Mus musculus: one gene and its partners. The protein of the gene in region 1 binds, or shares a complex with, the protein of each later gene. Links are inferred from orthologs where the notes say so. Each region holds a gene or a part of one and is shown in the gene's direction. Other genes may lie near its edges. The genes, in order: Kansl1, Kansl3 and Kansl2.

The links.
Region 2: Kansl1 (region 1) and Kansl3 share a complex: the UniProt entries of both Homo sapiens proteins name them as parts of the NSL complex. The link is inferred for Mus musculus from reciprocal best matches to the Homo sapiens genes KANSL1 and KANSL3.
Region 3: Kansl1 (region 1) and Kansl2 share a complex: the UniProt entries of both Homo sapiens proteins name them as parts of the NSL complex. The link is inferred for Mus musculus from reciprocal best matches to the Homo sapiens genes KANSL1 and KANSL2.

What each region holds. Positions count from the first base shown.
Region 1 is NC_000077.6:104,436,399-104,447,202, reverse strand, and holds the start of Kansl1 (KAT8 regulatory NSL complex subunit 1), read left to right. Parts: upstream 1-4,882; 5' UTR 4,883-5,478; intron 5,479-10,804. UniProt on the Homo sapiens protein: Non-catalytic component of the NSL histone acetyltransferase complex, a multiprotein complex that mediates histone H4 acetylation at 'Lys-5'- and 'Lys-8' (H4K5ac and H4K8ac) at transcription start sites and promotes transcription initiation.
Region 2 is NC_000067.6:36,341,922-36,352,012, reverse strand, and holds part of Kansl3 (KAT8 regulatory NSL complex subunit 3), read left to right. Parts: intron 1-12; coding exon 13-87; intron 88-222; coding exon 223-380; intron 381-2,547; coding exon 2,548-2,611; intron 2,612-2,994; coding exon 2,995-3,195; intron 3,196-3,254; exon of another isoform or gene 3,255-3,331; coding exon 3,332-3,488; intron 3,489-4,718; coding exon 4,719-4,796; intron 4,797-5,983; coding exon 5,984-6,175; intron 6,176-6,546; coding exon 6,547-6,628; intron 6,629-6,966; coding exon 6,967-7,097; intron 7,098-7,833; coding exon 7,834-7,943; intron 7,944-8,117; coding exon 8,118-8,340; intron 8,341-8,628; coding exon 8,629-8,762; intron 8,763-10,091. UniProt on the Homo sapiens protein: Non-catalytic component of the NSL histone acetyltransferase complex, a multiprotein complex that mediates histone H4 acetylation at 'Lys-5'- and 'Lys-8' (H4K5ac and H4K8ac) at transcription start sites and promotes transcription initiation.
Region 3 is NC_000081.6:98,513,785-98,523,875, reverse strand, and holds the end of Kansl2 (KAT8 regulatory NSL complex subunit 2), read left to right. Parts: intron 1-2,113; exon of another isoform or gene 2,114-2,240; intron 2,241-3,450; coding exon 3,451-3,558; intron 3,559-3,997; exon of another isoform or gene 3,998-4,159; intron 4,160-4,328; coding exon 4,329-4,454; 3' UTR 4,455-6,218; downstream 6,219-10,091. UniProt on the Homo sapiens protein: Non-catalytic component of the NSL histone acetyltransferase complex, a multiprotein complex that mediates histone H4 acetylation at 'Lys-5'- and 'Lys-8' (H4K5ac and H4K8ac) at transcription start sites and promotes transcription initiation.

The sequences.
Region 1 (10,804 bases):
TATTTAAATTAACACTCTGAACCAAGTCCCCCCCCCCCCATAGTGTCTCTTATCCTAGATCGATCACTCTCCCCCCCCACCCCCTTTCGTTTCTCTGTGTAGCCTTGGGTGTCCTAAAACTTTCTGTGTAGACCAAGATAACCTTGATCTCAAGAGATCTGCTGGTCTCTGCCTCCCATGTGCTGGGATTAAAGTTGCCACCCATGTGCTGGGATTAAAGGTGCATATTACCATGCCTAGCCTTTTTGTTCAGTAGCTTGAGACATTTCTTATTCTATCACTGTACTCTTGTGTATACATAGAACCCTAAAATGAAAGGCTTAAGGAAGAGTAGCTCAGTGGGTAGATACACTATTGTATAAGCACAAGGACCTAAGTTGGAACATCCAGCACCTACATAAAAATGTACTGTGTGTCTGGGGTCAAAAACAGGCAGACCTAGGAGTTTGGTGGCTCGGCAGCCTATCCAAAATGGGTGAACTTAAGGTTCAGTGAGAAATCTGTCTCAAAAAATAATGTAAAGTACTGGGCAGTGGTACCTTTAATCCCAGCACTCACTCTGGAGGCAGAGGCAGGTGGATCTCTGAATTTGAGGCCACCGTGGTCTACAGAGTGAGTTTCAGGACAGCCAGGTAGGCTGGGGCAGGTTTTATGTTTTGTTATTGTTTTAGAATTGTCAACTGACTTATGAAAATTATTTATTGATTGATTACGACACAGTTTCATGTATCCCATGCTGGCCTTCAAATCTCTGTGTAGATGATAACTCCTACCTCCACTCAAGTGTTGGGTTTACAGGTTTGGGCCTGTTGTGTCTGGTGTATGTAGTGACAGACTTGGCAGGGATCCTGTACGTGTAAGGTAATCAGTCTGCCAATGATAGAGTCACCCTTTCTGGCTCAGGATGGCCTCAAATTCAGGATTTCTACATTAGACTCCTGGATAGCTGAGATGATAGTGTGCCACTGTGGTGGCTTGGGTTAAATTTTGATGCTATTTTTTGAATTATCCCCAGTTTATTTTTTGTTTTAGAAGTATGTTTAGAGTTAGTGTTTGCAATGTTATTGTTTTGTTTTTGCTATAGCTAATTCATAAGTTGCTTTAGAATTAATTTTTTCTTAATATTAAATCATTTCTATGGTGAGAGAATATATTTATGTAATTCTAGAGCTGGAGTATGAGGAGGAAAATTACCTTAATTTGTTTTTTTTAAGGTGGAGTTTATAAAAGGAAAGCTATACCTTTTTTGGAAACAGCTTTTCATGGAGTACATACTCTAAAATAAGAGAAATTAATCTTTGTTACTATCTTAAGGTGTGAGAAACCTAACTTCACCTGTTTTAAATAATCAAATGTTTTGTTGTTTTGTTTATAGCTGGAATTGCAGAAGTCATGCAGATGTCAGAATTGTTATGATGTAACTGTCATCAGAACGAAGACTCTTGGCAGCTATCCATTCTGTCTGCTTTGATGCTGATAGCCTCCTAAAGAAATAAAATATTTTAATAGTTTAAACTATTTAGTGGCAGTGGGGGCGGTGCTTATTTTTTTTTTCCCATCTCATATTAAGATGAATGGTTTCTTCTTGGTTCTTTCAGAGTCTTCCTAGGTAGCTTCCACTCTTACCTCATGCTCAGTCCTAACTAGTCCCAAGTAAAAATATTTGCCCAGGATAGAATGGATATTGAGCACATCAATTATGACTGTTCTAATAGGTTATAAATGTGGATTTTGTTTGTTTGTTTGAAGCAAGATCTCACTGTGTGGTACTTGATGGTTTGGAACTCACTATGTAGACCAGGGTAGCCTGGTAATTTGTCGGTAATCCTCCTGCTTTTGCAACCCAAATGCTGTGATCATAGATATGTGCTACCTTGTTTGTGTTTGCTTGTGTGTTTTTTGAGGCAGGATTCTCTGTAAAGTCCTAGCTATCCTGGAAGCTCTGTAGACCAGGCTGGCTTCAAACTCAGAAATCTGGCCCCTCTGCCTGCCAAGTGCTGGGTGTGATCAACATCCTGAACCATCAAGCTCAGCTTTGTGTGCATGTTTTAATCAGCCTTATCATGCATTGTTTCTCTGGGGGAATTTTGTTTTTTTCTGTGTTTTAGCATTCCCCCAATTCTGGGCTCCATGTCTTGTCTTCCCTCTTTACTTTGTGTACCAGCAAGCATTTGGATTTTATATGACTGTAGCTGGTCTAGAAAGTCTATGTGTTGATGTATAGCTAAGGATGACCTTGAATGCCTGATCTCTCCGGATCCACCTTGGGATTGATAGAATTTGAGAAGTTGTCACCAAGCCTGTCTCTAGAGGAGGTTCTTAGGTTTTTTTTTTTTTGGTTTTCGAGACAGGGTTTCTTCATGTCTGACTTAGACCGAAGTCTTTTTTTTTTTTTTTTTTTTTAAGACCGGAAGTCTTTAAAGAAATACATTTCTTTTTCAAAACCTCCTCTGTGGGCGTGGTGGCACACACCTTTAATCGGAGGCAGAGGCAGGCGGATCTCACAGTTCAAGGCCAGCCTAGTCTACAGGGAGAGGACAGCTAGGGGTACATGAGAAACTCTGTCTTATGTATAGATTTTTGTCAGTAGTTGCTCACTTTGAATGCAGTTGTTCATAAACTTGGTACTTAGTTTTGTTGTTGTTTTGTGTTTTTGTATTTTTATTTTTTTATTATTGGACTGGTTATACTGAGATTCAGGAACTCTGGATTTTCATGCTTTCCCCACCCCCACTGAAATGCTGGAATTGAATGCATGTGTCAATATGCTTGAGTTAGGTAGTGAAGTTTCTGTTGTGGTTTTTTTGTTTGTTTGTTTGTTTTGTTTTTGTTTTTTGAGACAGGGTTTCTCTGTGTAGCTCTGGCTGTCCTGGAACTCACTCTGTAGACCAGGCTGGCCTCGAACTCAGAAATCTGCCTGAGTGTCTATACCCAGCTGTCACAGAACTCAGTATGTAGAACAGGCTGGCCTTGAACTCACAGAGTTCTCCTGCATCTCTTTTCCTAGTGCTGAAATTATAAATGGCATGCAGCACCATGACTGTGTAGATAGTCAAGATTTTAAGAGTTTGGATAGTTAATAACATTGTTATAAAGAGTTTCTTTCACTAATATTTAAGAAATTAAATTTAAGAATATTGTAGAAAGCTTTGCCTTATTTTCATTCAGCTAATTTAGATTTTGTTATCTTCAGATTAGGGCTCTAGGTCACCATCTGTTGGTCCTGTAATTATGTATAAACATCCTCTGTGGCATTACTGTTTATGTGAATATATATGCTCTCTCTCTCGCGCACACACACACACATACATACACACACATGCAAACACACAATCTTACCTGTATTATAAGTTAAAAAGCCCAAACTATTGATCTTTTTTGGATGCATATGTAAATATGTATACATCTATCAGTTTATCCCTGTGTATTGACTCTATGTTGTCTCCTGCCTTTGATATTTGAAAACCAAGATCATGTTTGAGAGTGTAATTTTAAAAATGCAGATGGAAATTCAAGAGAAATATAGATGCAGATACTGCAGAAACTTGTTGAGTTAGAGACTTTGTGGGCTAATGAAAACTGGTCTATAACAATAGTTTTTTTTTTTTGAGGAGCTGAAGTGACACATAACACCGGATACTGGTTTGGTAAACCACACAAAGTATTGAGCATTTTACATCTTCCTTTTGGTAGACTCTACTCTTCTCATCTGCTGAGCTTGGTGATTTAGTTGTTGGAACAAGTTTTATGCTATTTGATTTTGGTGAGTCCTAATAATCTTTGGACATGGTTAGCTTTAAAGGGTGGTGGATTTGTACTGTGTAATGTGTCACTTTGCGTTATATTAAGTTTTCTAAGTCCAGAAAATGTTCTCTGATATTAAACCTTATTTGGGAGGAAGGAACCGATATCGTGCTGACAAACTAGAGTCAAGAGTAATTAGGTGCCACTACTTTTAAGTCAACGCTGGTAAGAACATGACAGGTTTGCTTTTGTTGTTCATTGTTAAACTTTTAGCGGGTCTGTGAACTTTAATTTGGTAGTAGCAGGAAACAAAAAAATTACTGTGTAATGAATGCGTTTTTGCCTATTTTGGCGGATCTGACAAATCAAGAAGCCTAAAACAACACGCGGGCTTAACGAAAACTACAGTTCCCAGCGGGCCCGGCGCTGGTGGGCCATCATTTCCCCTCTAGCTCCCAGCTGCCCCTGCCCGGGCTAGCCCCGAGTCGGTCCTAGCTCGCGCCTGCGCAATGGCGTCCGCTTATTTTTTGGTTTGGCGGCTGCAGAGCGTGGCGCTAGGGCTAGCAGCCAGCCGTGTGCTGCAGTGTACAGAGCAGGGTGTAGGACAAAGGGCGGGTGGCAGGGACCGCGTCACTGGTCAGGGAGCTTCCTGCCCGTCTCAGAGCACGGTTGGCCCTGGGGTAGTGTGGCCGCAGCAGCTTCTTCATTCACTGCACACACAGTTCTTCGCTCACGTCCTCTAGCTCTGCTGTGTCAGTCCGCCCTCCCCTCAAACCGGCGCGCAGCACCGCCAGCCACAGAGCCGAGGGAATGTGACGGCATCAGCGCCTCAGGTTAGCCTCACCTCGATCGAAGCGAGGGCCCCGCGTCGCTTGCCGCAGTGCCGCGTGTCGCTGCCGCACGTATCAGGCACCAGGCACCGGTTTCCGCAAACAGAGGCGCAGAAGCAGCGGCCGCGGCTAGGAGCCATGACTGAGGCGGCGGCGGCCGCGCCTCCTGGCAGCCCGCGGGGGCGGCGAGGCGGGCGCCCCCTGGCGGCGCGCCGGGGCGGAGCGGCCCGCCGCAGCCGCAGCCGGCGGAGGCGCTGCTGTCCCTCCTCCCCGTGTCCCCGGCACTCGCCCGCTCGCTTGCTCGCTCCATTCTCCCTCCGCTTCAGATTAAAGGGGGGGAGGGAAAAGGAGCTCGGCCGCCATTTTCCCAGTGCCGCCGCCGCCACCGCCACCGCTCGCTGAGCCGGCGGGAGAACCAAGCGCCGTAGCGAAGCCGACTCGTCTCGCCGCGGCGGCTTGGGGGGCGGCCGAAGTGCGCTCCCCGGCCGGGAAGAAGCTCCCGGGGTGGCGGCCGGGGTGCGGGCGCGGGCTGCAGACGGCGGCGCTTGTTTGTGCGGGGCGGGGGGGGCAGCTTTACCCTCTGCCCCCGCCCGCCCGGGGCTGCGGTCCCCGCCGTGCCCAGGCCGGGTCGGAACGGAGGAAGGCCGGAGAAAGGGCCCGAAAGAGAAGAAAAAGCAGCCGCTCCCCGCCGCCGCCGCCTTCCCCTCCCCCTCCGCCTCGCCCCCCCGCCCGGAAAGTCAGGGCGGCTCCGGGCGCCGGGGGGGAGGAGAGCGGCGGGCCGGGCCGGAGCAGCAGCCGCGCGCCCCCGCCCGCTGGTCCTCGGCGCCCAGGCCGGGGGGCTGTTTGCAAACTGCGCCCATTTTGTGGGGCCGAATCCGCCCGGGCTACGCTCCTCCATCACGTGGTAGGTGCTGCTGCTGCTCCTTTCCTCCTCCTCCCGCTGCCCTTTCTCCTTCTCCTCGCTCTCCCTGTGGTTCCCATTTCTCCCTCTCTTTGTTAGTTGTAACTAGAAAGGCTGGGCAGGGGAAGAAAAATCCCCGGAACTTTAAATGGCCTCTCCGGGCTTCCCCGCTGCGGGTCCGGGCTGGGAGTCGCCCCAAGGGCGGGGGTGTGCGGGGGCCCTTCCCCACCAGCTGCCGCCTCGTTCGCTGGGCTTTCCTTTGGCGTTCTATTTAAAAAGGCGGCCTGGAGAACCTGGTTTATTTCCGAAAAAAAAAAAAAAAAAAAGCAAAAACAAAAAGACCAAAAACAAACTCTTGCTCTCGCCTTGAACTTCTCTTGACTGCAAAAGGTCTTTCTTTGCTCAAACACATCTTGCATGTCTGTCTCACGGTTTGTATCACAACTCTGATTGTTAACATTTTTTGTTGCTTAAATATTGAGGTCATTTGCGTTTTCGGATCTAGTCTCAGGCAGCCCTTTTTTTCAACTAAAGAGGAAGAGGCATTTATTTGCTTTTAAGTGAGTTGGAATCTTACTGCTTTTGGGGGGGCCTGTTTTCGGACTGACGGCCTTTGATTCTCAGCAAATAGTTTATAATTGTTTTCCGTATTGTAAACAATCTTACTCCCATGTTTTACCTAGAAATCCTTTTGTTTTCCAATGTTGGAATCCCAATGTGGATTTTTAGAGAAACTCGTTACTTAACTATTGCTTATTGATTGCCTTAGGGGAAAAGGGGTGACATGATGGCGCCACTTTAAATTGCTCTTTCCTCCGCCTGTTTTTTCCTCCTTTATCCTGGAGGTCACTGGAGCATTTTCCGTGACCTATTAATAAAACCGCACTTGAGGGTGTTAGCTGTACAACTCTTAGGGGTTAGAATTTGGTACCTTAAAGATTGAGAAACCCGAATCCTGCAGTCCCCAAAGTTAAGAGAAATCTCGCTAGTCCTCCAACCTAGCTTTCCTCCCCTCCATTCACAATCCTGGTGTTGCCATATCCTTCGTCACGTGGCTAGCAATCATTGTGGGGTTTTGTTTGTTTGTTTGGGGGGGTGTATGTTAATATTTTAAGCTGTAGCCAAGTAAGTGTCCCTCTGCCCATTAGAGAGATCACAATGCTCTAGGGTTTTTTTTTTTTAATACATTCGGAGAACATTTTAAAATAAACGATAAAATTACATAATCCTTGCCTTGCATAATCATGATATAGTTACAGAACTTCTTCTCAAAAGTACTTTCAATCAAGTAGGAAAATCGTTATATTAAAATGATTTCTGTTTCTTAGACTGGTCTGCAGTTTATATTTCCCACCCCACCTCCCTTTTTTGTTTTTGTTTTTAAGGTCATTTGAAGTACCAGTATTTACAAAAGCATAAAGTGGGCGTGTTTCCCTTTCCTCTCTTCTATGGGCTGTACTTGGTTTCTTGTCTTATTCTCCTACCAATTTAGAAATTTTCAATTAACTGCAGCTGTTGTCAGTTGAGACTTTTTTTTTTTTTTCTTCTGACAGTGGATACTTTTGATGTGTTTCTTTGTTGCATTTTTGATAGAGAAGTTTTTAATTCTAGTTTTCCAATCTTCTTACTTGGTTGTTATAACTTCTTGTAAATATTAACTATAAAATGCTAAAGTACATTTTTTTCTTTTTCTAGGTAAGTTACTAGCTTCAAAAAGTAAATATAAAATGTAATTCTTGAGTATGATTGATCTGTTTTCTCCTGATGTATGTTATCAATGGCTTGGGCCATTTTCTTTGCTAACAGTTACATCATGTCATGTGATAGGTGCAGTGTGATGTGTTGCTCTAAAAATATTGCGAGGTAAAAATGCTCATCCTTTGGAAATTTAAACAATGTATTGTAACTATTTGGTAACGACCCTTAGTCATGGAATCCTGAATTAGATTTCCACTAGGTTTAGCCAACCAAGTGTACAGTTCTTTTGACCTTTAGAATATTTGATTTGATTTGTTAGTGACCTCAGAACTTGAGGTGGTTTGACATTATTTTTGAAGTGTGATCTACTTGGAACCATTAACAATCACATAGATTCTTAAAATCTTTATTCTGATGAAGGTAGTTATTTAATTAAGTGTATGTGATGATTTGTTTCTGTACACAAAAGTCATCAGTTCTATGCAGATTTTGAGATAAATTGGAGGTTTGGTTTTCCTACCTATAGGAATCTGCAAGTATTGGGTTGCTGCATCTTTCATGAAAACCCAATTCAGACCAGTAGTGTCTTGACTTTCATGTTCATGTAATATTAAATCTGCAGAGCACTCTTTGATTTTTAGATAATTTACTGTCCTGTTAAGGAAAATTCTGGAAGCTAGAAAACAGTTTAATTTATTTGAACTTTAAGGTGAGAAGAAAGAATATTGTATTTTTTTTTCTCCTTCAGATACCACCAATGTCTTTTTTTCTCTAGTAATGCTACACTGTAATCAGTGTTTCTGTATAGTATAGCCCCTGGATTTTGACCAAATCTAGTTTGGCCACAGATTTTAATTACTTTTACAGTGAACAAATTTGGGGTTTGCTGTGTTTGATATGAGCTATTTTATGTGATCTGTAAACAAGGCTTTTGTAGGTGGTGATGCCTATTTTCAAAGGCATTTTAGTATTGAGTTGTTGTAGCTGTGAGTGAAATTGTTCCCTTAGTTTAGAAAAATAATTTTTCAAAATGCTCTTTAAAACATTATATTGTACAGAGAAAGCTTTGGGTTTAAATGGTGTGTTTTCCTATTCATTTTCTTTGGGTGGGGGTGGAAGGTTCCTAGGCCTCATCTTTCCCACCACCTTGTTTTGGTGAGGCAATTAAGACAGAAATGAAAGTGTCTTTCTGGAAATTTTTTTGTGTATTGTATATATACAGAGAGAGAGTGTGTGTGTATTGTATTGTATTGCCTCTAGTTCTAAGACCTGTCTATTTCTTGATCTAGATGGAAAGAAATAGTGTAGATTAAGTATAACTAGCAGTTATCTCTGGTTATTTCTATGACCCACAATTCTCTTCTCAATCTATATATAACACTCAAAAGATAGTACTTCCTATCTCTTCTGGCAGACTTGAAATGTTGATGCCCTCTACTTACAGTACTTTCCTAATTTCTATTGTCTTTTGTTGTTCACCTCAGTTTTTGAGCTTGCATTTTGAGAAATGGAAGTACCAAGAAGAGTCCTAATTTTGTCTGAATTTCTACACTCTGGTAGTAATGTTTTTGCACAACTTTAGTGTCTGTAAACTACTATAGAGTTTATTAGGTTTGAAACTATAACTATGTCTGTTCAAGTTGAAAAATAATTCTTCCTGTAGATTCTTTTTAAAAACTGGAAAAAAAAAGGTTTTGTTTTGTTTTTTTAAGATAAAGGGAAATGGTCCAAATCTTGTTTGCACTAGGATAGCAGGCCAGGTGTTGGGGCATTTTATTTGAGACATCTGCACTGTACTCTGTAAAGAGAGCAAGAAAAGGACACTAATGTAAAATATCCTTCCTGAGACCAGAACAGCCTAACTCATGAAGGAAGGAGCTTATTTAAAATGAAGAAAAGAGGACAAAGACAGGTCGTTTACAACTAAATAGTGGAGAAAGTGCTCTGGCGTTATGTTTATGTTTAGTCACAGGTCTGGCCCTTTGTGTGTAGGCTATTGGAAAGCCTTAGCTAGATAATAGTAGTGGCTTACCAAAAAGCTTGGAGTCAAAAGTACAGTAGATTATTTTATTTAATTTATTTGTTTACTTTGGTTAAGCTTTTTCTAATTTTTGGTAGGGTAAAGGTGAAGCCAAAATGTAAAGTGGAAACCAAGTTCCCCAAATTAGAGAGCATAGCTCGCAGGTGAATGAAAAACAAACTTGGAAGCCAATTGGAATGGCACATACCTTTAATCCCAGTATGGGCAGTGGATCTCTGAGTTTGAGGCCTACATGGTCTATGTAGTAAGTTCCAGGACAGCCAGAGCTACAAAGTGAGACCTGTCTTTTTTAAAAAAAAAAAAAAAACTTGAATGAATAGTCTGCTTGAAAAATTTAATGATTGTATATGAAGATTTTAATGACTAGTATAAATTTTTATGAACCAAGTGAGTTTGTTTTTTCATGATTGAAGGGGACATTTTAAGTGTTTTTTTTCTTCAGATTTTCAAAAATATGTATTTATTAGTTATTTGTATGTGTGTCTACATGTGAGTGTGTAAGAGAGTGTAGATGCCCAAGGAGGCCAGAGGCATCAGGTCTCCTGCAGCAGGAATTATGGGTGGTGTGAGCTGCCTGATATGGGTGCTGGGAACTGTAAGTGGTCTTAATGGCTGAGCTGTCTCTTCCCTCTTTAAACTTTAATCCTCTGTTGGCTAACTCTGTTTTGGCAAATGCTAATTGTTTAATAAAAGTTGCATCTTGTTAGTGGTGCTAAGCTGTAATACCAACCCTTAGTTCTTCAAAACATCGTCTATTAGGCAGGCCTGCAACTCACTACCAGTAACTTAAGAACCTTGCGTCAGCCTTCTGGGTGGTGGGGTTATATCGTGTATGCCAACATTCCCTACATAAAATTTTTTTCTACAAATCTTTTTAAGATTTCAAACTAACTTCATAGAAATTTAGGATTTGAATGATTTCTACCACAGAATTATTTATACAATTACTGGCTCTGAATTTGTTTTCTAGGGTCTTGTATTTAAATTTCTTCTCTAAATGATGGAGTCAGAATGCAAAGTTGAGCTAAATTCAGTGTAATATTTTGTTACTGTACATTGTTACTTGAACCAGAAATTTGAACAGACATTTTAGTTAAAAATTTAAATATAGTAGATTTTGTTCTTGTTTGGAAAAAGGGCCATGAACTTGATGAGGTTCCTCACCTTTTAGTTTCTTCTAAAAAAAAAAAAAAAAAAACCCAACAAAACAGCAGTTTAAGGTCAGACCTGGTTAAATTCAGTTGGAGGGGAAATGTTGAGGAATAACATGGTTGAGTAACAATTTTGTTAACGGATACCCACATTCTCTCATTACTTTTGTTTGGCTTTTATGGACTACTTGTTAGTACTAGAGGGTCTGAGGGATTGGGACTGATTGGTTTCTGAGTTTTTAGCATTTACTAGTGCAGAGATTTTTTAGAAGTGGGGGAGGGGGGAGGAAGGGGAGAGTCTAGATTAGTAGAATGCTTGCTTAGCACTTGTCAGGTCCTGGGTAGGATCTCTAGACACACGCACATGCACCCAAACTCACAAAGATACATTTTAAGTCTTGAGAGTTTGACTCTGCTGTTTATATGTGGAGAATAGGGA
Region 2 (10,091 bases), on another chromosome or scaffold:
TATTATGTACAGGTGTCTGTGATGGAGTACGTCACTGCTGTTGTCTGCCTTGGGTTTCCTCTGCTTACTGTGGATGGACCCAGGGGGGTAAGAGGGAGATGAAACTGCTTGGTCTTTGGCAGTGGGAGTGGGGGGCAGCAGGAATGTGGAACAGTGGAGTGCATGCTGCATCGGCATTAGTTGAGGGCCAACTGCTTACATCTAAACTCCTGCCTCTTCCAGGATGTGGACGATCCCCTCCTGGACATGAAGACTCCAGTCCTCTTCGTCATTGGTCAGAATTCTCTACAGTGTCACCCTGAAGCCATGGAGGACTTCCGGGAAAAGATTCGAGCAGAAAATAGCTTGGTGGTGGTTGGGGGAGCTGATGATAATCTCAGGTGGGTCCATCTCCCGAAGGACGAGAGGGAACGTATTGAAATGTTAGAGAATGTTTATCCGTGGCCGAATAAAGACAGACCAGTATGGCTGAAGGAACAATTAAACTTGCATCCTATAATCCCAAAATGTATTCAGGAGGCTAAAGCAATAGCTAGCTGGCCCTTGAACCTATTTCAAAAAACTACAGCACTAGTACAAGAAATCTGAAATCTCCTCTATCCCTCACCTAGACAAAATATAATCAAAATGTCGATTTGATAGTATTGTCTAATCTAAATAACAAACCTAGATTTCATCAGTATCTCCCAAGAGAGGAGAGGAACAGAGAGAGGGAGAAGGGGAGGGAGGTTGGAGAGAAAGTGAGCCCCTTTCTCCCTCTCTTTCTTATTTGTTTTGAGGCAGGATTTCATGTAGCCCAGACTGTACTCATATTTACAATGTAGCTGAGAATGGCCTTGAGGAGGATCTTTCTGCCCTTAGCCTCCTGAGTCTCCATGCCTAGTCTTCAGTGTTTGTTTTCTGGAACCTTGACATGGTTGAAGATGGCTGATCAGTTATAAAATATCGATAGTTCTTTTACATGTTTTTCTCTGATCTATTGAAGATGTTTAGTTTTGTCAGGAATGCCACAAAGGTGACATTGCTTCTCAGTGTATTCTGTCAGAGGATACATGATTCAATTTATCTTGTTACTACTGATAATAACGTTGATCATACAGTTGGGATAGCTACTGTGGGGTTCTCCACTATGAAATTACTGTTTCCCCTTTGTAATTAGGAGTCATCTTGTGGGGAGGTTATACTTTGAGATTGTAATCAGACTTTTCCTGGGGTAGGCATTTTAAAAAATTTCATTCCTTGAGGACCAGTATGAACATAGATTTACTTGTGTTAAGCCTGACTTTGTTGATACATTATAAAGTATCAACAAAGCCAGATTTTGGGAGGGATTTAAGGTAAGGTGTCTTGTGACTTTGGTCATCAAGACAGCCATTCATTAAATCTTAGGAAACATCTTTAGTTGCAGAAATTATAATAGAATCTCTCTATGTAGCTCTGGCTATTTTGGAACTATCGTTATGTAGACCAGGCTAGTCTGGAACTCACAGATCCACCTGCCTCTGCTCTGAGTTAATGCTAGAATTAATGGTGTGCACTGGTCCGTCAGGAGGAAAGATTTTGAGACTCTTGTCTTTGACATCAAACTTTTCATTACATACACTTTACATTTTTTATTTTATTTCTTTTTAATTTTTTAATTTTGTTGTCCTGGCTGTCTTATAACTATGTAGTGTAGACCAGACTGGCCTCAAATTTACTGCCTCTGCTTCCTGAGTGCTGAAATTAAAGGTGTATGCCACCTTACCTGATTAAAAATTTTTGTTTCAAATTTTTGAGTTACATTTTTTTAAAAAAAGCAAAGTCAGTTTTTTTAAGACTTATTTATTATATGTAAGTACACTGTAACTGGCTTCAGACACACCAGAAGAGGCTATTGGATCTCGTTATGGATGGTTATGAGCCACCATGTGGTTGCTGGGATTTGAACTCGGGACCTTTGAAAGAGCAGTTGGTGCTCTTATCCACTGAGCCATCTCACCAGCCTCCTTGAGTTACATTTTTATTACTGGTTTTGTGTGCCGGTGTCCCCATGCCCTGACACTTTATGAAGGTCAGAGGATAATGTGCAGGAGTTAGTTCTCTTTTAAACCATGTAGGTCCTGAGCAACTCACATTGGAAGATCAATACGAACATAGGTAGTATTTGTATTAAATGCCATTTATTTTGGAGGGCTGGTATAGTTTCAGTAATATTGCTCTCCATTGTAAAACTTATGGGTCTGATTTTCTGTTTTCCAGGAGCATCAGTCAGAAATCAGGTTTTTGTTGCTTTTAGATAGGGTCTTACTCTGTAGGTAAAAAAAATTTTTACAGCTCTCCTTTCTCTCTCTCCTTCTCCCTCTCCTCCCTCCCCCGCTCCATGTGTGTGAGAGAGAGTGTGTGTGTGTGTGTGTGTGTGTGTGTGTGTGTGTGTGTGTGTGTGTGTGTGAGACAACTCTCAAGGTCAGGTCCCTTCCACTCTAGGCTGCAGAGTTTGCACTCAGTCGTCATGCTCTCTCTGCTTGGTCATTTCACTGCTCTCACTGTTTCTTTTTTGCTTCTTAGAATAAGCAAAGCAAAGAAGAAATCAGAGGGCCTGACTCAGAGCATGGTGGACAGATGTATTCAGGTAAACAGTTTGCTCTCCTTTTTGTTGCTAGGTTTTGTCTTACTGGCAGCAGCCTTTCTCACTCTGGACCATGAAGGGTTTCCAGTAGGCTGTGTGGTAGACCTAAGTCACAGTCAAAGAAAGGAGAGCAGGGAAGGACAAAGCAAAGAGGTGAACTGAGATATGGGTGGGCACTCAACAGAGTGGGGCATGGAGTATGCCCAGAGCTTTTGCACAGGCACCTGCTGGTCTTCCCCAGGTATCGCAGCTAAGCTTGGCCTGTATGTGGCCTTGGGAGTGGAAAGAACCATCATGGGAGAATAGAGTTCTGTTTATCTTGGTGCTATCTAGGAGGGTCCTGTTCTCCAGGGGAGGACTAAGGCCTTTGCTCCTTTTCACACTAGGATGAGATTGTAGACTTCCTGACTGGAGTGCTCACTCGTGCTGAGGGTCATGTGGGCTCTGAGCCTCGGGATCAGGATGCTGAGAAGAAGAAGAAACCCCGGGACTTGACCCGAAGAGACCTGGCCTTTGAAATTCCTGAGCGAGGCAGTCGTCCTGCTTCCCCAGCTGCCAGGCTCCCCACATCCCCCTCAGGCTCAGAGGTAGTGTGTGCAGGGAGAGGCGCCTTTACTGAGGTCTTCCTTTGTGGGAATGTCTGGGAATCCCTGTAAGGGGAGATGCAGGGAGCCATGCCGAATGATGCTTGGATTCAAGTCTCTTTGTACCTTCTCTACCCAGGATCTCTCCAGTGTGTCCAGCAGCCCCACCTCTAGCCCTAAGACCAAAGTGACCACAGTGACCTCTACCCAGAAATCAAGTCAGATTGGGACCTCCCAGCTGCTGAAAAGACATGTGCAGAGGACAGAAGCTGTGCTGACCCACAGACAAGCCCAAGGTACAGATGGTCTCCTGGCCCAGCAGCCCCAGTGGGGCTCCGTCTCCTGCAGCTAGTGTCATGTGGAGTTGGGAAGTATCAGCTCTGCAGCTTTTTCAGGGCAGCTTGAGAGGCTCCCATACTGCTTCTAGGTAAACTCAGGTTGAAACGAGTCCCAAGGCTATGTGGTAATAGGCATTTTGTCATAGTCACCGTGTTCTGGTGTGCTGGAGACGTTGAGCTTATAAGCTAACCGTGTGTGTAGTAGCCTGGCGTTTTTTCTAATTTCTAATTGAAGAAGCCGTGTATTTTGCCAACCATTCCTGGAGTCAGAGGGCTTTCCAAATGATAAGCACGTGGTGACTGATTTTACTCCTCAGAATAGGCTAGCTCACCTTGTCCTTTTGGTTTGGTCTTGAAGAGTTAAAGAGTTCCATGATGCGACATTTACAGATTTGGTCAGTGTTCTGCCATTAAGCTTCAGATAAGACTGGGGAACATCACTATCGTTGAAATCAGGGTTTGGAGGGATCCAAGGGTTGTGTGAGTAAGGAGCTGTAGAAAAGAAAGAATTCAGTGAGTAAAGAAAGAAGCATCGGTGGCTCTGTCCCTAATGTCTGTCTGTCCCACTCCCCTCCATCCCAACATGGTCCTCTGCTCACCACCCCTTTTACTTTTAATGAGGCCAAAGGCTCCATTACTTAAACTAAGGCTTCTTATGAAGTGCCACTAACAAGTATGAGTGGGTGGGTGAAGGCAACAAAAGAGGCTGGGTACCTGGGATCTGTGTACATGCTCTGTAAGTGGTACTTGGGACTAGTGGAATTTCCTTAGAATTTAGTGAAGGCAGAGCCAGCAGGTTGCTGTATCTCTGGGTAGCATGATTAGTGGAGAAATGTAAGGTGGTCTGGAAGGCTGAATGGTGAGCTGGGTTTAAGATGGGAGCCATGAGTGTCAGTAGGATAGCAGCATCCATACAACCATGCTTAGGCAGAGCTGATGGGTGGGTGGGGAACAGTAGTTAACAGAACTCTCACTGCCTGCTGACCCCTCTGTTTGGAGGTGACTTGCCCTAGCTTGTTGAGGCTTGGCAACAGCCTCGTGTGACAATTACACAGCAAAGTCAGGTTCCAGATCTGTGTGGTTCCCTTAGAAAGAATGGTTGACGGTTTTCATCTTTTCCTTGTTCCCGCTCTGTTCCTCCATTCTCTAGCTGGCTGTGATTCTATAATTCTTTCTGATTCATTCCAGCACAGTTTGCTGCTTTTCTGAAACAAAACATGCTGGTGAGGAAAGCTTTTCCTCCTGGCACCTCCTCCTGTCTCTTTGGTGAGTATTGCTTTCACCTGCTCGCCTAGGCTTACTGCTCTCCTCCCTGCCTCTCAGTGTTCCCTGCTCTCCACTGGTTTTTTCTCTTCCTTTCTCTCTGTCTCCCAGCTCCTTGTACTAGCTCCCTTGCTTATGTTCTCCCTATTGGTTTCTCATGGTGGCATTTCTTGCTTTCTCACTTTTTTCTGCCACGCTCCTTGGCTCTGAGTCTCCCTTGTATGCTTGTATGCCTGTGGCCTGCTTGCCTTCATGTGAGCCTGCATTTTCCTTGTCTGTTTTCTCCCTGCCTTGGTTGTTTCCATCCTGATTGCTGCAAGTACAAGAGAGCTGCTTAGAGCACTCCTCTGTCTTAGGCTGGTACATTCATCCCTAAGCAGCCCTTGATTCCCTCACTGTAGCCCCACGCCAGCAACCCCAATGTTCATTGGCCTGCTGTCTTGCTCACTACAAAAGAGACTTCTGAGGTTACAGAGCAGGAAACTGAGAAAGTCTAAAGGTTATCAAGCCTAGGGAGGCAAGGGACGTTTGCCTTTATACATAGTGATCTGTTTGAGTTAATGGAAGTTCATATCCGTAGACCTGGTTGGGACATGGGCCACTTTTGTCTTATTTGGGCAGCAGCTGAAATGCTACCTCACCTAGTAGTTCCTGAGAGCCAGCAACTCCTGGTAGCAGTCTGTCTGCCTTACCACCATTTGACAAGCAAAGCCCTCAGCCTCAAGTACCTAATGCATGATGGAGGCTGCGGAAGCCCTGGGAAAACTCCCTTGTGCAGAGGATTAGGTGGCCTGCCTGTGGATGTTCCTTATAGGCTGTTTACTGTCCCCAGCTATGGGACAGCTTGGGAGAAGGTGTATAACAGGGAAATGACCAGCTTCTTCGAGTCTGGAAAGTGCAGAGAAAACTGTTTACTTAGTTCTCTGATGGGGTTGGTTCTGCTAGATGATGTCAGCATGCCTTTTATCCTTTGTTTGGTTCCCAACAGCTCAAGGCCCCTTGTCTCCCTACTCCAGGGCAACTGAGATAGGCTGAGTTATCTCTGAGATATTCCAAGTCAGGTCCCCAATGGGTGGGACAACCTGTACCTGTGTCCCTTTTCCTGTGCAACTTCCACATGTCTCTTCTGGATGGCTTGGCTTGTGGTATTTATAAGTTATAGAAGATCTTACCTCAGCTCTGTTTCTTAGTTCCCATTTCATCAGAATCAGTGGAGGACATAGAGAAAGAAGAGCTTCGGGTCCAGCTTAAGAGGCACCATTCTTCCAGTCCTCTTCCTGGAGCAAAGCCTTCCAAGCGACCAAAGATCAAAGTGTCCCTGATCTCCCAAGGGGACACAGTTGGAGGACCTTGCACTCTTTCTCAAGGTGGAACACCTGAAGGTGAGTCTTTTGTGCTGTCTTTGATAAAGGCTGATCAGCGTTCCCAGGCTTGGCAGGCAACCCAGCCTCTGTCAGTCAATGGTCACCTGGAACAGAGATGGTCTGAGGTCACACATGGTGGAAAGTGGTAGTCACCTGTCTCAAGAAGGGAGACAATATCAGAGTACTTGTGGGGCCATTTAGAACATTATACACTTTGTCCATTTGGGGTTTTAATTAAGGTAATAGACAGCTTAAAAAATGGAAGGAAGGAAGAGAAGAACCCCAGCTGTCCCTGAATAGCATAGCTGTTCTTTTTCATTTTCCATCTTAAATTCAGCCTTGGTTTAGGGGCAAGTTAGGACTGAACTTTGGTCTTGGTTATTCTGCAGCTGCCGGAGGGAAGCCCATCACCATGACCCTGGGAGCTTCAGCAGGAGCCAAGGAACTCACTGGACTTCTCACTACAGCCAAGTGAGTCTGTCTGCCTTTGCTCTCCTAGTCTTCCTCCTGTTCACTCAACTTCTGCTTCGTTTGGTCTTCAGGGAAGTTGAGATATTCTAGAGTCAGTTGTAGGCATGTGACTTTTTTCTGATTGGGAGCTTTCTTTCTGACAGAGCATCCACTGACTTTACCCAGGACTTGAGTTCTTTCATTTAGGCCTGGCTTTTAGAAGGATAGAGGTGGGGCTTAGGAACTGAAACAGAAACCAAAGATTCTTCCTTGCCTGACGGACGGACTTCACTCGGGATACCCCTTGTGGCTGTGGGCTGCTGCTCTTTGGATAACAGGGCTCCTTCCTTTATTTCCAGGTCAAGTTCTTCTGAAGGTGGAGGTACAGCCAGCACAACCCCATCTGTGGCTTCCAGCAGTGCCACACCTAATGCTATCCACACGCTGCAGAGCCGCTTGGTGGCCACTTCTCCAGGCAGCTCCCTTCCAGGTATCTTGTCTTGGATCTGCTGCTGCAGGGGGTGGTCTTAGACCAGTTCTGGAACTGGAGCGAGAAAGAGTAGCTCTGCTCTCCCAGTGGTAGCAGAAGCTAACGGGAACTGGAATTAGCTTGTCTTTACTGTCTGTAGGGGCTGTGTCCTTTACTGTGAGGATAGACAGTTGCCTGTGTTGTTTCTTCTTTTTCATACCTCCAACTAGATAAAGCTGGAGGTGGTGCTGAACTGAACTTCAGCAAAGTGAGATGTGTTTTACCTCTTTGATATCTACTTTTTCTGAGCCTAGCCTGCCTGGAAGGGCTGATTGCCGGTACCATGGGTTAGGACATTGCTGAATTACCTCTCCCTTAAGATTTTACTTTCAGGTTGTTGGACTATATGTAATGTGGTCAGGTATCAGAATCCACTTGCTTTATTCTTTCTTTTCTGTAGAAGTAATTGAATTTGTGTTTCTGAAAAGTGAGATTCAAGCTCTCCGTTTTTCTGTACAAAGTGCAGGACTGCTGGCTTAGAACAGGTTGGAAAAGTAAATCCAAGGCAGTGTCTGGCATAGCACCTGTCCTTGTGTAGTAACTTCTGTGTGTGCTGGGAAGGCTTTCCTGGTATCTTTCTGAGGGCAGGGTAGTGCTTAAGGGCAAGCTTAGGTTGTTGTAGGATGAAAGTGCTATAGGCTGCTTGTGGGTAATACCCGGGACTGATGTCTGCTGCATCTGCCATGTCCTCTCCTAGGGACCGCTTCAGCCAGCAGCCTCCTCCAGGGCCTCAGCTTCAGCTTACAGGATATTAGCAGCAAGACCTCTGGCCTCCCAGGAAGTCCCTCCCCAGGGCCAGCCCCACAGGTATATCATCTGCTGTACTGGGTAGTGTGGGATAAGAACTTCTTATGGGAGGGATAATATAAAGATAATAAAAATCCTGGAAGAGTACCTTGCTTGCCATGTGCTGAGTGGGCTCTGCAGGCTCTGGTGTTATTGTTGGGTGGTAACTTCTAATCATCTGCTTGTGTCCAATAGGCCACCAGTGTGAAATTGCCAACCCCCATGCAGAGTCTGGGTGCCATCACCACAGGCACGAGCACCATTGTCCGTACCATCCCTGTGGCCACCACTCTCTCCTCCTTGGGTGCCACTCCTGGTGGGAAGCCCACTGCCATCCACCAGCTGCTGACCAATGGGAGCCTCGCTAAGTTGGCAAGCAGCCTACCTGGCTTGGCTCAGATTTCCAACCAAGCATCAGGTAAGTGCCATGAAAATGATGGGGACTTCCAGTTCTGGGTATTTCCAGGTCTTAGATAGGCAAGGTGAACTTTCCTTGATTCTTGGATTCAGCTCTGTGGAACCTGCCCTCAGAAAGGTCTAGAGAACACAGACTGGAGCCCTTCAAATTTACTGACAGCGTAGACCTACCTGCCCAGGAAGAAAGCCAAGATGCTGTTTTGGGAAGAAACTGTTACCTGAAAGTAGAGGCTAGAAATCAGTACCCTGTCTTCCTAACTTTCTCTCTGTCTGTCTGTCTCTTACTTAGGCTTAAAGGTCCCCACCACCATTACTCTGACGCTGCGTGGCCAGCCAAGCAGAATTACCACGCTAAGCCCTATGGGGTCAGGGGCAACGCCGTCCGAGGAGCCCAACTCCCAGATGCTACCATCTAGTTCACAGGTGAGTTGGCCTGGGCAGACCCAGGAAGTGAGCAGGTTCCAGTCCTAGGTAAATGTGGGGCTGGCCACAGTGTTGACCACACCTGCCATTGCGCTGAACTTGTTGGCAGACCAGATTCACATTTGGACTCTGAGTTTCTAGCCTTGTCACTTTGAGCAAGGCAGGACCTCTTTGATTTTCCTTCTCTGTAAAACTGTCTGTTGTGAGGATTGAGATGGTGAAGCTCCAAGGGCATCCGTGACTGGGTAGAATGTTTCTGAGTATTTCTCTCTTCTTCCCTTTCTCCTCCCTTTCTTGGTTTCATCATTCAGACCTTATCAGTAGAGGCTGACTCTTGGACCATGTCTTCATTGCTATCTTTAGGGTTACCCAGGAAGTAGCAGTCGATTCCTCTTAGCGATTCACCTTGCTTTCTTATACCCCCAGGACCACCTGCCCAGGAGCGGCAGTGCTTCTGGTGAGCTGAGCCCTCCCCCGTCAGTGCTCTGCTGGTTACACATATGCAGTGTGATTATGGAAGCCCTTTGTCAGTTACGGTTCCTCTTTCCAGATAACTCTAGCTGTGTCAAGTTAGGGAAAAACAGCAACAAAAAAACCCTAGATCATAGGTGGGGATTAGAGGACGACTTTTTAGAGTTGGATCTTGGTCACTTCAATGTGAGTTTTTACATACAGTAAAACAAACACTGGTTTTATGTTAATCCTTTTTCTGTTACGTGGTTTCTTATGCTTTATCCTGGTCAGTAGATTGCCTTTATTTTATTATTCTTATTTTTTGTGTATGAGTTTTGTCTGCATATGTATGTGTGCATTCCTGGGACCTTCAGAGGTCTGAAGAGGGCTCCACATCCTTTGGAATTGGAGTTAATAAGAACAATTGTAAGCTGCCATGTTGGTGCCAGGTACCAAATTATGACCCTTTGCAGGAACTGCAAGTGCTTTTAAATACTGAGCCATCTCATCCACCTTTGCATATTATATTTTTTGAGAGGATCAGGCCCAGGCTGGTCCTGAATTTAATATGTAACTAAGGATTGCCTTGAACTCCTGGTCCTCGTTTCTGCACCTCCTGAATTCTCCAGTTACAGGTACATGTGTGTCACTTCCTCCAGTTCCTTGTATAATACTTAGGATTTAACCCAGCGTCCCATGCGGACTAGGCAAACACTGCCTGCCAGAGCTCTAGTCCAAGCCATTTTATCTTTTTTTTTTTTTTTTTTTTTTTTTGGTTTTTCGAGACAGGGTTTCTCTGTATAGTCCTGGCTGTCCTGGAACTCACTTTGTAGACCATGCTGGCCTCGAACTCAGAAATCCGCCTGCCTCTGCCTC
Region 3 (10,091 bases), on another chromosome or scaffold:
ATGGGGTCTGAGCATTTCTTTTTTTATGAGTGGGGTCTGAGCATTTTTTTATGAGTGGGGTCTGAGCATTTCTTTTTTTATGAGTGGGGTCTGAGCATTTCTTTACTTGCTTGCTTCCTGAAACCCAGCTTGTACCACGACTTTAAAAAGCTGGCATTTGATGCCTTTTTTTCTTTTTTAAAAGTTTGTTTTATAAATGTGTGTGTTTTGTTGTATGTATATATGTATGTATGTATCCATGTATGTATGTATGTGCACCCTATGTGTGCCTGGCATCAGAGGTCAGAAGAGGTTAGATCTCCTGGGACTGAAGTTATAGCCAGTTGTGAGCCACCATGTAGATGCTGGGAATTGAACCTGGATCCTCTGCAGGATTAACACGTGTTTCTCTCCGTGAGCTCTTTTGGGAGGTACTTGATGGAGCAAATGATGTGTACTATGAATCCCATCTCGAGAAACGGCCTGCGCTTAAAACCTCTGTAGTCACTGCTTCCAGGGGATGAGGTCCCTGGAAGGCTGTGTCCTGTACAAACCTACTTTTCCCCTGCTGTTTGGAGAGAGATGATGCCAGTCTCCTTTTGCTCTGGGAGTCTGGCAGCTTAGGATATAGTCTGTAAATCTCTTAGCTATGAATTTGGAGTAATTATTTTAAGGCCAAACTGGCCTAACATTTTAAGCACTTTCCTATATGGCTTTAGAGAGTTTGACTGCTCAGTGATGGGGAAGCTTAGCGTTAGCGTCGCCCTTTCCATAGGGCAGAGCTGGGTATTGGGGGTTTCTTTTCCAGTTTACGGTGATAGTGCCCAGAGTGGGTTTCCTACCTGCACTTACCTCTTTACCTTTGCTTTTCCTTCCCACTCAAAATAGACATTTTCTAGTTGCCCAGTGGACAAGATTCTCTTGACCACTCAGTCCTGGCATTCTCACAAATAGACGTTGTTTATATAATGTACCTGTGGGTAGAAAGAGCTGGCACCAACCCCAAGCTTTAAAAAGAAAAATTGCAGGAAACAAAGTGAGCACTGTCTTGGTGGTGTGCGCGTGGGCTTCTGTGGGCCGAGAGCTGTGTCCAGTGGACGTCTGTAGTGGATAGTGGGCAATGTGGCTGTCTCTTTCCTCCTGCTTGCACTGAGCAGTTTGTTTACTTGCTGTTGTTTTTAAAGGCATTTTAAAGAAAGGATACATTACATATCCCTTGAACTCTCAGAGATCTGCCTGCCTCTGCCTCCCTCCAGAGTGCTGGGTTTAAAGGTAAGCATTCCCATGCTTGGCTTTAGACTTAATTTTTTTTTTTAAGGATTCAATTTTATTTTATGTGTATCAGTGTTTGGCCTGCACATATGCGTACCGTGTCCATGACCCGGTGCCCTAAGAAGTCAAAAGAGGTGTCGGATCCCCTGGAGTGGAGTTAGTTCTGTGTAGAGCGCCGTGTGGGTGCTGGGCACTGCGCCTGCGTTCTCTGGAAACTCTTAACTGCTGAGCTATTTTTCCAGCCCCCAATTAAAAATATGTTTGGCTTTTTATTTATTTGTTTGATTTATTTTAGATAAGGTCTTGCTCTGTAGACCAGGCTTGCTTCAAACTCAGAGAGATCCACCTGCCTTTTGGTTCCTGAGTGTCAGGATTAAAGTTTTAGATTTTTAAAAACTTATTAAACTGTGCTAACCCTTAATTATGAAAAGGTTATGATTTCTATTCCTGGTGATTAGCACACCAAGATTTTATGATACATACTAATTATGTAGAATGGTTTCCTTGTGACAGCCTCATATAGGCATATGATATACTTTGAAGTCTCTTTGCCTGCCAGCCTTCTGCTTCCTCGTCCCTTCTGCTCCCCTCCCTTTGCCTGTTCTTCTGTCATGGGGCACCTTTACTTTCTTAGCTAGAGCTTAAAAGCATTAGCCGAATTTGTCGAGATGGCTTGGAACTTGGGTTGCCATAATTTTTGAACCACTATAGCGATGTGGGCCCTAAATCAGTGTTGGTTTGAGGAAGGAGCCAGGAGTGATGCTTTTGATCTGCTGACTCCACAGTGTCTCTGGGAATGGCTGATTCATATGCAAAGCGTAGAGTGTAGAATATAATGTCCTTTTTTTTTCCCCCTAAACAGAATACTTGAACTATGTTAAGTGTAAGACTCAGAGGCTTAGCCCGGCCAGGTGGCACAGGCCTTTAATCCCAGCTCCTGGGAGGCTGAAGCAGAGCATCCTAAGGTCAAGTCTTGCCTGGGCCACAGGGTGAGTTCCAGGCTAGCCTGGTCAACTTAGTAAGACCCATGTCAAAGTAGAGCGTGAAGAAGAGGGCACTGAGATGTAGTGCAGTATAGAATGTCTGTCTGCCTTGAGAGAGAGAGAGAGAGAGAGAGAGAGAGCAAGGCCTGACCTCAGGCCACATTGCTCATTCTAGGGATTGGAGTTAACCACAGTATCCTGTCTTTGCCATTCAGAAACATCTGAGTTTCTGTGGTCTGTCCTCTCTTTAGTTGCTTGCTCCGTGAATGTTGGTCAGTCTTGTATCACCAGTGTGTTTTCCAGCAGGGTTTCATGTTACTTTGTCCATAGGCTGATTGTTCTTATTGGATGCCTCAGTCAGGAGCGTAGGTGTTGACTGTAATTAGAGAGAGAGAGAGAGAGAGTGTGTGTGTGTGTGTGTGTGTGTGTGTGTGTAGTGTGAGTGTGTGTGACAAGGCATGCATCCGAGTTCTCTCCTTCCACTGGGTGACTAAATACAAGCCATTAGCCTTTACTTACTGAGCCAATCTGCCAGCCTTGTATTTTCTCTTTATTTTTCCTTTTAAAAGTGTTCTTTTACACTTAATTTGTGTGTGTGTGAACATGCATGTGTTATGTGCACATCAGAGGGCAGTTTTAGGAGTCTATTCTCTCCACCATGTGGATTCTGGGGTTCAAACTCAGTTCATCTCACTTAGCGATGCCTTTGTTCACTGTAAAACATGTGTGATGCTGGGCGTGGTGGCGCACGCCTTTAATCCCAGCACTCGGGAGGCAGAGGCAGGCGGGTTTCTGAGTTCCAGGCCAGCCTGGTCTACACTGTTAGTTCCAGGACAGCCTGGGTTATACAGAGAAACCCTGTCTTGAAAAACAAAAAACAAACAAACAAAAAGAACCTGTGTGATACTTTACAGTTGATTGGTATTGATCTTGAGTAGTGTGTTATGCAGTCATTGTTAGCATCTTTTTCCTCCCTCGGTTTAAACAGACTCTGTCCCTGTTAAGCCTCCCCCTTGACTCTCGGTGGTCGCTCTTTCACTTCATGACTTTCCTAGTGGAAATGAGCTAAGAGAGGCTCTTACTGTTGTTGATCTTGTTCACTGATCTAAGCGGGGGGGGGGGGGGGGGTAGAGTTACCTTGAGCTTTGGTGAACATTGTCAGTTGTAGCTTATTGATGTCCTAGATGCTGCTGACGGACTCTTCTCTTTTCCCCAGGACTTGGATGTTGTGGGTGATGGCATGCCATGCCCGCCGTCGCCATTGCTCTTTGATCCTTCGCTAACTCTTGAAGATCATTCAGTCACAGAAAGTGCCGGAGACGCAGTGGGTATCTTTAACAATGACTGTCAGCTAGGCTCCCTCATGTAGTGACCAGGCCAGGCGTTGGCTAGCATGAATTCCAGGGAGTATCGTGATTCCCAAGTAGAGAGCAAAAGTGCCCAAGATGCCATAAAATGGAAATACCCGCTTTAATAAAACACCACAACCCAAAGCAACTTGAGTAGAAAAGGACTTATTCCACCCCTTACTTCAAGCCGCAGTCCGTCACCGGGGAAGTCAGCTGGGAAGCTGGAGGCAGGAGCTGATAGAGAGGCATAAAACAACTTCTTTTGCTTTTGAATGCTTGTCGGTACTAATTTTCCAGATGAACCGCAGAACTCCTAATGGTTCTTAATCCTCAAGAGGGGGCATCCGTTTGTTTGAGTGAAAGGTGATAGATACATTGTCTCTTTAAGGGAGCGTTCATCACTCGAGCTATTCTAGAATCAAGGGATGGGAGGTTACCCATGGCTCTTACTGAAGACTAGCAGTTATACACTGTAGCTGTTGGTTTCAAGCAGACGCCTAGAGAACTGTCTTCCAGTGGTTTATTAGCTACTCTGGACTTCAGTAGAGAATGACTATTTCATTTGGAAGAAACAACCCTTGTTCTCTCTGGTTTCACAGCCTCAGTAATTCTGGTTCTTTGGATCAGCAGTATCCTGGGGAAGCAACCAGCATGTTAGCTACTTTATCTCTCTGCTCTGTCAGAGTCATGCGTCAGGCCCATTGGAGGGAGTCTCTAACCAAAGTGCCTTTATTTATTTTAATAGGGACAGATGCAGGCGGCTGGGGATGGGTGCAGATCCCAGGGAGCTCGAAGTGTAGAGAAAGCAGCATTCCCTCAGCGTGGATTGGCTACTGCGAATGGAAAACCAGAACCCACTTCTATCAGTTGACATTCATTCTGGGAATTGTTTGCCTTTGGATTTGAACTTTCCATTCTTCAGACAAGTGTATCTCTGATCATCTCTCCCTGAACAGGGACAACTCAGACCACATTGCTTCCTTTGGGGCTTTAGAGCGCTATAGACAAACATAATCCAAGTTTGTGTGGAATGAATATTTAGTATATAAGTTTTGGGATTTTTTTTTTTTTCAAGGAAGAATGTGAGGTGATCCCTGCCTTTGGGATACAATGCATATTGGAGACTGCCTGGGAGAGAGACATTCTGTAATGGGACTCCTAAGCCACGGACAGAACCCCACATGGATGTCCAGGCGGGCTGTGCTCGAGACGGTGCTCGGCAGGCGTTGGCCCTTAGTGTCTGGCTAGCTGTATCTAAAGGCCTGTATCTAAGCCTTTCCTCTGCTCTACATAGTTGGGCAATACAAAGCCCATTCGTTTCCTTGTGAACTGTAACTGAGAAAAGCAGCTCACAGGTCTGGGCTCTCCTTACTTAGTTATTCTTGCTTTTAACTTATGTAAGTTCCTGTGGTGACTCCATGTAATATGTAGTGAAATTACTGTATATAGTTTCTATTAAATGTTAAAATGCTATCAAAGTGTAAAGTGATCTGGATCGATTGTGTTCTCGTTGGATTTGAGAATGTTCTGATGGGAAAGGTGTATACTACTTCTATTCTAAGACAGGCACTCTGGAGAAACTCACGACAGAGGTGGTGCTTGGTACCTAGTTCCCAGGGCCAGGTAAACTTGTGTCACTGGAAAGCTAGGGGTTAATTCACTCGAGACCTGGCACAGAGCCTTAGGACCTTGGTTCAACCCCAGCGAGGATGGTGGAGTGGCAAAGCAGACAGTGTGGCGGTGAGGTTTGTGTAAAGCCGCTTCCTAGGGGAGCGTTAGACAGAAATGATGAGCAGTTCCCAGGAAGAAGCTAATAAAACTGCCAAGGAAAGCGGCAAAGCTCCTCCCTGGGGTGGGCAGTCATCCATTTCTCCCTGCAAGGAAGTAGACTAGATCATTCGCTCAGCCCAGACCCCTTTCGGGTGTTGGCTGTTCTCTACTCTTCTGTTGCTTATGACTAAGATGTAAGGTTCCAGAGGGGTTATAGAGCATCATGGCAGGATCAGGAAGCCGTGAGCTCGCATGGGGACTACTAGCATGTGGGACAGCACACGTACAAGACACAAGGTTTATCTCAAAGTCCATCCCCAGTGATCACTTCCTGCAGCATTTCGGTATCACCGAGATATCCCAAAACTGCCACCAGCTGGGTGCCAAGTGTCCAAGTGCCAGAGACTGGCGGGCATTTCTAATTCAAATAATCACATCGGGGTTGGCCAGTGGAAAGCACAAGAGCACGGTACTGGACCGGATTGTCAGAAGGGGAGCTGGTTCAAAGAGCACTGAGGGCAGACCAGAGTACATCTCTTAGAGCCAGGCCAAACTGTAATCCCCCCACTGCTGCGACACGTGGAGGCCCCACAGTGGTACCCCAGAGTGGGAAGGTTGGATGGCTCATGGGAAATACACACTATGATGACTTAGGAGGGATAGTGGCTCCTATGTATGCGAAGAGGAGACTACAACCAGCAAACTGCAAACCACCTCTCAGCAAGTTGTGTAGGGAACACCAGGGTTGTAACTTTTGTGAGTTATCACCATTTTGGGGGGGATGAACCTATCTTTCAGTGATGAACCTGTCTTTGGGTCATCCATATTCCTGTAAACAAGCCAATAAACCCTACAGTTCACTGAATACTTGGACGGAATCATGTTTTTGGTGTGTCATGTGCCAGCCAGGGCTCCCGAGGAAACTCAACATGGCTGCAGTGGCCACTACTAACCACAAGGGGGAGCTAGGGAGATGGGCGCAAATCTTACGGAATATCACTCCTGACTGAGCTGGGGAGACCTAAAACCCTGCTCAGGGCCCTTAAGTAATTAAGAAAACAATACAAGACTGGGAAGCCTTTTGGTCATATACCTTCTTTTCAAAGGCCTGTTTCATTGTAATAGCATGGTGTTTAGAAGCACTCAGAATGTAACAAAGTAGCTGCCACTTTCTCAGATGTAGCTGCTGTGAATCAGCATTTACTTCAGTAAGCTACCTCAGGACAGCCCAAGGTTAGAAAAGTAACTCCCCCCCCCCCCACCATCATGCATTGCTCATTCCTACTGTGCATAGGCAAAAACTTGCTATAATCCCTCTAATTTATAATTTCTGTTCTGCATTACCAAGGCTGTAGCACAGGTCTGTCTAAGCCCACTTGATACTTGGTTAGCCATGCAAGAAAAAGACACCCCACACAAAATACACAAATAAATCCTACACGGTCTTACAAACTATTTTCTTACTTCCCTTCTTCCTTTCCCCACCCCGCCCCCCGTGCTCCCAACACCTCTCCTCTTTTGGTGGAGTCTCAGCCTTGGCTGGCCTAGAACCCTCGGTAGACCAGGCTGCTTCAGACTCGGGTCCTCCCGCCTCTGACTCCCTAGTGCTGGGGTTAAAAGCATACGTTACCATACCTGGCTTTATTTTTTTTTTCTCCTTTTAAAATAAGTTAGTTTGAGCCAGGCATGGTGGCACACGCCTTTAATCCCAGCACTCGGGAGGCAGAGGCAGGTGGATTTCTGAGTTCAAGGCCAGCCTGGTCTACAGAGTGAGTTCCAGGACAGCCAGGGCTACACAGAGAAACCCTGTCTCGAAAAACCAAAAAGTAAAGTTAGTTTGTTGGGCTTAGGGAGTGGCCCAGCAGTTAAGAGCTCAGGCTGCTCTTCCAGAGAACCCAGGTTTGATTCCCAGCCCCTGTCTTCAGACACACCAGAAGAGGGCATCAGATTCCATTACAGATGGTTGTGAGCCACCACGTGGTTGCTGGGTGATGTGTTAGAATAGCAGCTTGCGTCTGAACACAGCACACTAGGCCAAAACAGTCCCACATGTAAGAGGTTTATTGGGAGAGAGAGAGGCAAGGAAGGTGGCGGTGGAAAGAGAAAGGGGGTGGGGGGAGAGGGAGAGAGGGAGAGAGAGAGAGAGAGAGAGGTAGTCACAGGTAAAGGTGGGAGGTGAGCCCAGTGGATTCTGGGAATATGGTGACTGTTGTCTTGGCAACAGGTATGTAGGTTGCACTGTCATTTATGTGATGTCACAGGTTTCCAGAGGTCCTGATGCCAACACTGGGAATTGAACTCAGGAGAGCAGTCAGTGCTCTTAACCGCTGAGCCATCTCTCTAGCCCCGACCAAGTGGATTCTTTTATTTAGACAAAGGGAAGTGGCATGCGTCAGAACCATCTTTATTCCTAGTCACCTTTACTTCACTGGTCTCTGCTCTCTCAGCCTCCGTTTCCTTATAGTCTTCCCTTTCCTGGTCTTGACAATGCCACTCCCACTCCCGGCCCTTTAAGGCTGGCTTTACCCTTCCTTTAGCTCTTTGTATAGCAATATCTTTTCTTTATTTTTCTCTGAGTCTGTCAGTCTTCTGCTAGCAAGGCCATTTCACTCTGCAGGAGTGTTGTTTCTTCCATACCTGCTTCTTTGGACTACAACTGCATTCTCCCTTGATTCTGAGGCAATAGTCAAAAATAAGGCTGAAACAGTGTAGCCTGTAAACACAAACCCCTCATCTGCTCCCGTTCTACCTCCAAGTCAAGGACATAAAGACCCATTAAGTTATTTAGTAAGTTGGAAGTCTAGGCTGGGAAGATGTCGTCCACTCTAACCCTCCAGGCTACTGCTTAGCCACTCGGTTCTTTATCTTCCTTCTGAGCTTCTCCCTGGCTTGCTCTGCTCCACGTGAGTCCCCATGGCGAGTCCCTTGGTGACCTGCTCATCATGACATCTCCTGGACCCTCTGCCTCATGGCCACATCTTGGTCTGTCCACGAGGGCTCTCTAACCTCTTCTCCTCTAGTTAGGGTGTGGCTCAGCCCTTAGCACACACCTTTAATCCCAAACAATGAAAGTAAAGTTGGTTTGTAGAAGGAAGCACCCTTGTTTGAAAGTGGTGTTTAATTGAGTGGCAGACAAAGTGACGAATCAGAGAGATTTGCCAGAATAGAATACGCCCAGCTCTCATGAGAAGAGAAAGGAAAGGGAGGCTACTTCAGAGGAAAGTGCAGAAAAAGGAAAAAGAGGAGGAGGAAGAAGAAGAGGCAGTTTTCCTGGGAGAGCTTTACAGTGACAGGTCACAGAGAGAGGACACGGGTGAAGACAGAACAAGCCAGAGACTGAGAAGGAGCCAGAGGATTAGAACAGATTGCTAGAGTTAGTTTGAGGCCAAGCAGAGCAAAAAGTCAGATGTCAAGAGAGAAGTGGATTGAATCAGTCAGCTTGGAGAGGAGTTTGAGCCAGAACAGCTGAGTTGAAGCAGCCAGTCAGAGATCAGAAGGAACAAGGGAGGGTGAGCTTATTTAGCGGTAAGTGCCAGAGACTGACATGTCCTAGGCTTAGATAAGATTGTATGGCAGCTAGAAGCTTCCAGGACTAGGCCTAGGTTAGCAGACAGAGGCAGAAAGCCTCCAAGACAACCATGACTACAGGAGAATAAAAAATCACTTTAACATCTCTGTGCCCAGAAGTCAGCAGCATCTAGAATATACAGTGTGCAAGACCAAGCCCCAACCAAGGAGCCTGCATCAGTGACTTGTGCACCACTGTAGCAGAAGCAGCTGTCAGAGCAACCTAAGGCAGGAAGGATGCTCACCGTCTTAGAGATGTCGGCAGAGATGTGTAGAATCAGAGCAGCTCACATCGTGGTGGCCAGGGACCAGACAAAGGGAGCATAGGAGGGACCCAGGGCAAGATATAGCCCCAAGTGCACACCCCGGGGACCCAACTCTTCAAGTAGGCCCCGTCTCCCAATTGTGTCATAAGACTATGGCTCCATCGTTTGGTCAGAGATGACCTGTTAATCTAGTCAGAATCCTTGTGATCTAATCACATCTAGAAGTGTCTTCTGGTGACACCTCCACGCATATTCTCTTGGCTTTTTCTCAAGCCAAACAAGTGACAAGATTAACCACCCCAGAGCTGGGGAGATGGCTTCGTGGTTAGCAGAGCTGGGGAGATGGCTTCGTGGTTAGCAGAGCTGGGGAGATGGCTTCGTGGTTAGCAGAGCTGGGGAGATGGCTTCGTGGTTAGAAGCACTTTACTTTTTTCCGGAGGACCCACGTGACCTACAACTGTCTGTAACTTCAGTTCTAGTGAGAGGCCAAATCTTGTAAGTTCAGACTCCATTTTAGAGACCCTGACCTGAGTTTGAACTCAGGTAAACTGACAGGCTGGTACCTAGCATGAGTTTCCAAGTTGCCCCCCAACAAAACCCGAGCCTAGCTCTAGTCTCTAGGGTAATCCCCAACAAGACCAGCATTTCCAGGTTATTCCCCCAACAAACCTGCACCCCCAGGTTACAAGCCCACCCCCTGCCTAACGACCACCAATGCAGAGGGGAGCAGAATCTAAGTTTATGATGTGACTCCCAGCACCAGCCAATTATGCTAAAGGCCACAGGAGCTTGCCAATGAGATGCTTGCACACACACTCCCTGCTTGCTGCTTACTCTAAAGTCTTGCTTCATAGACATTCGGGGCTCCCCCACTACCAAAACCATCCTGAGTGATGGTGGTGCAT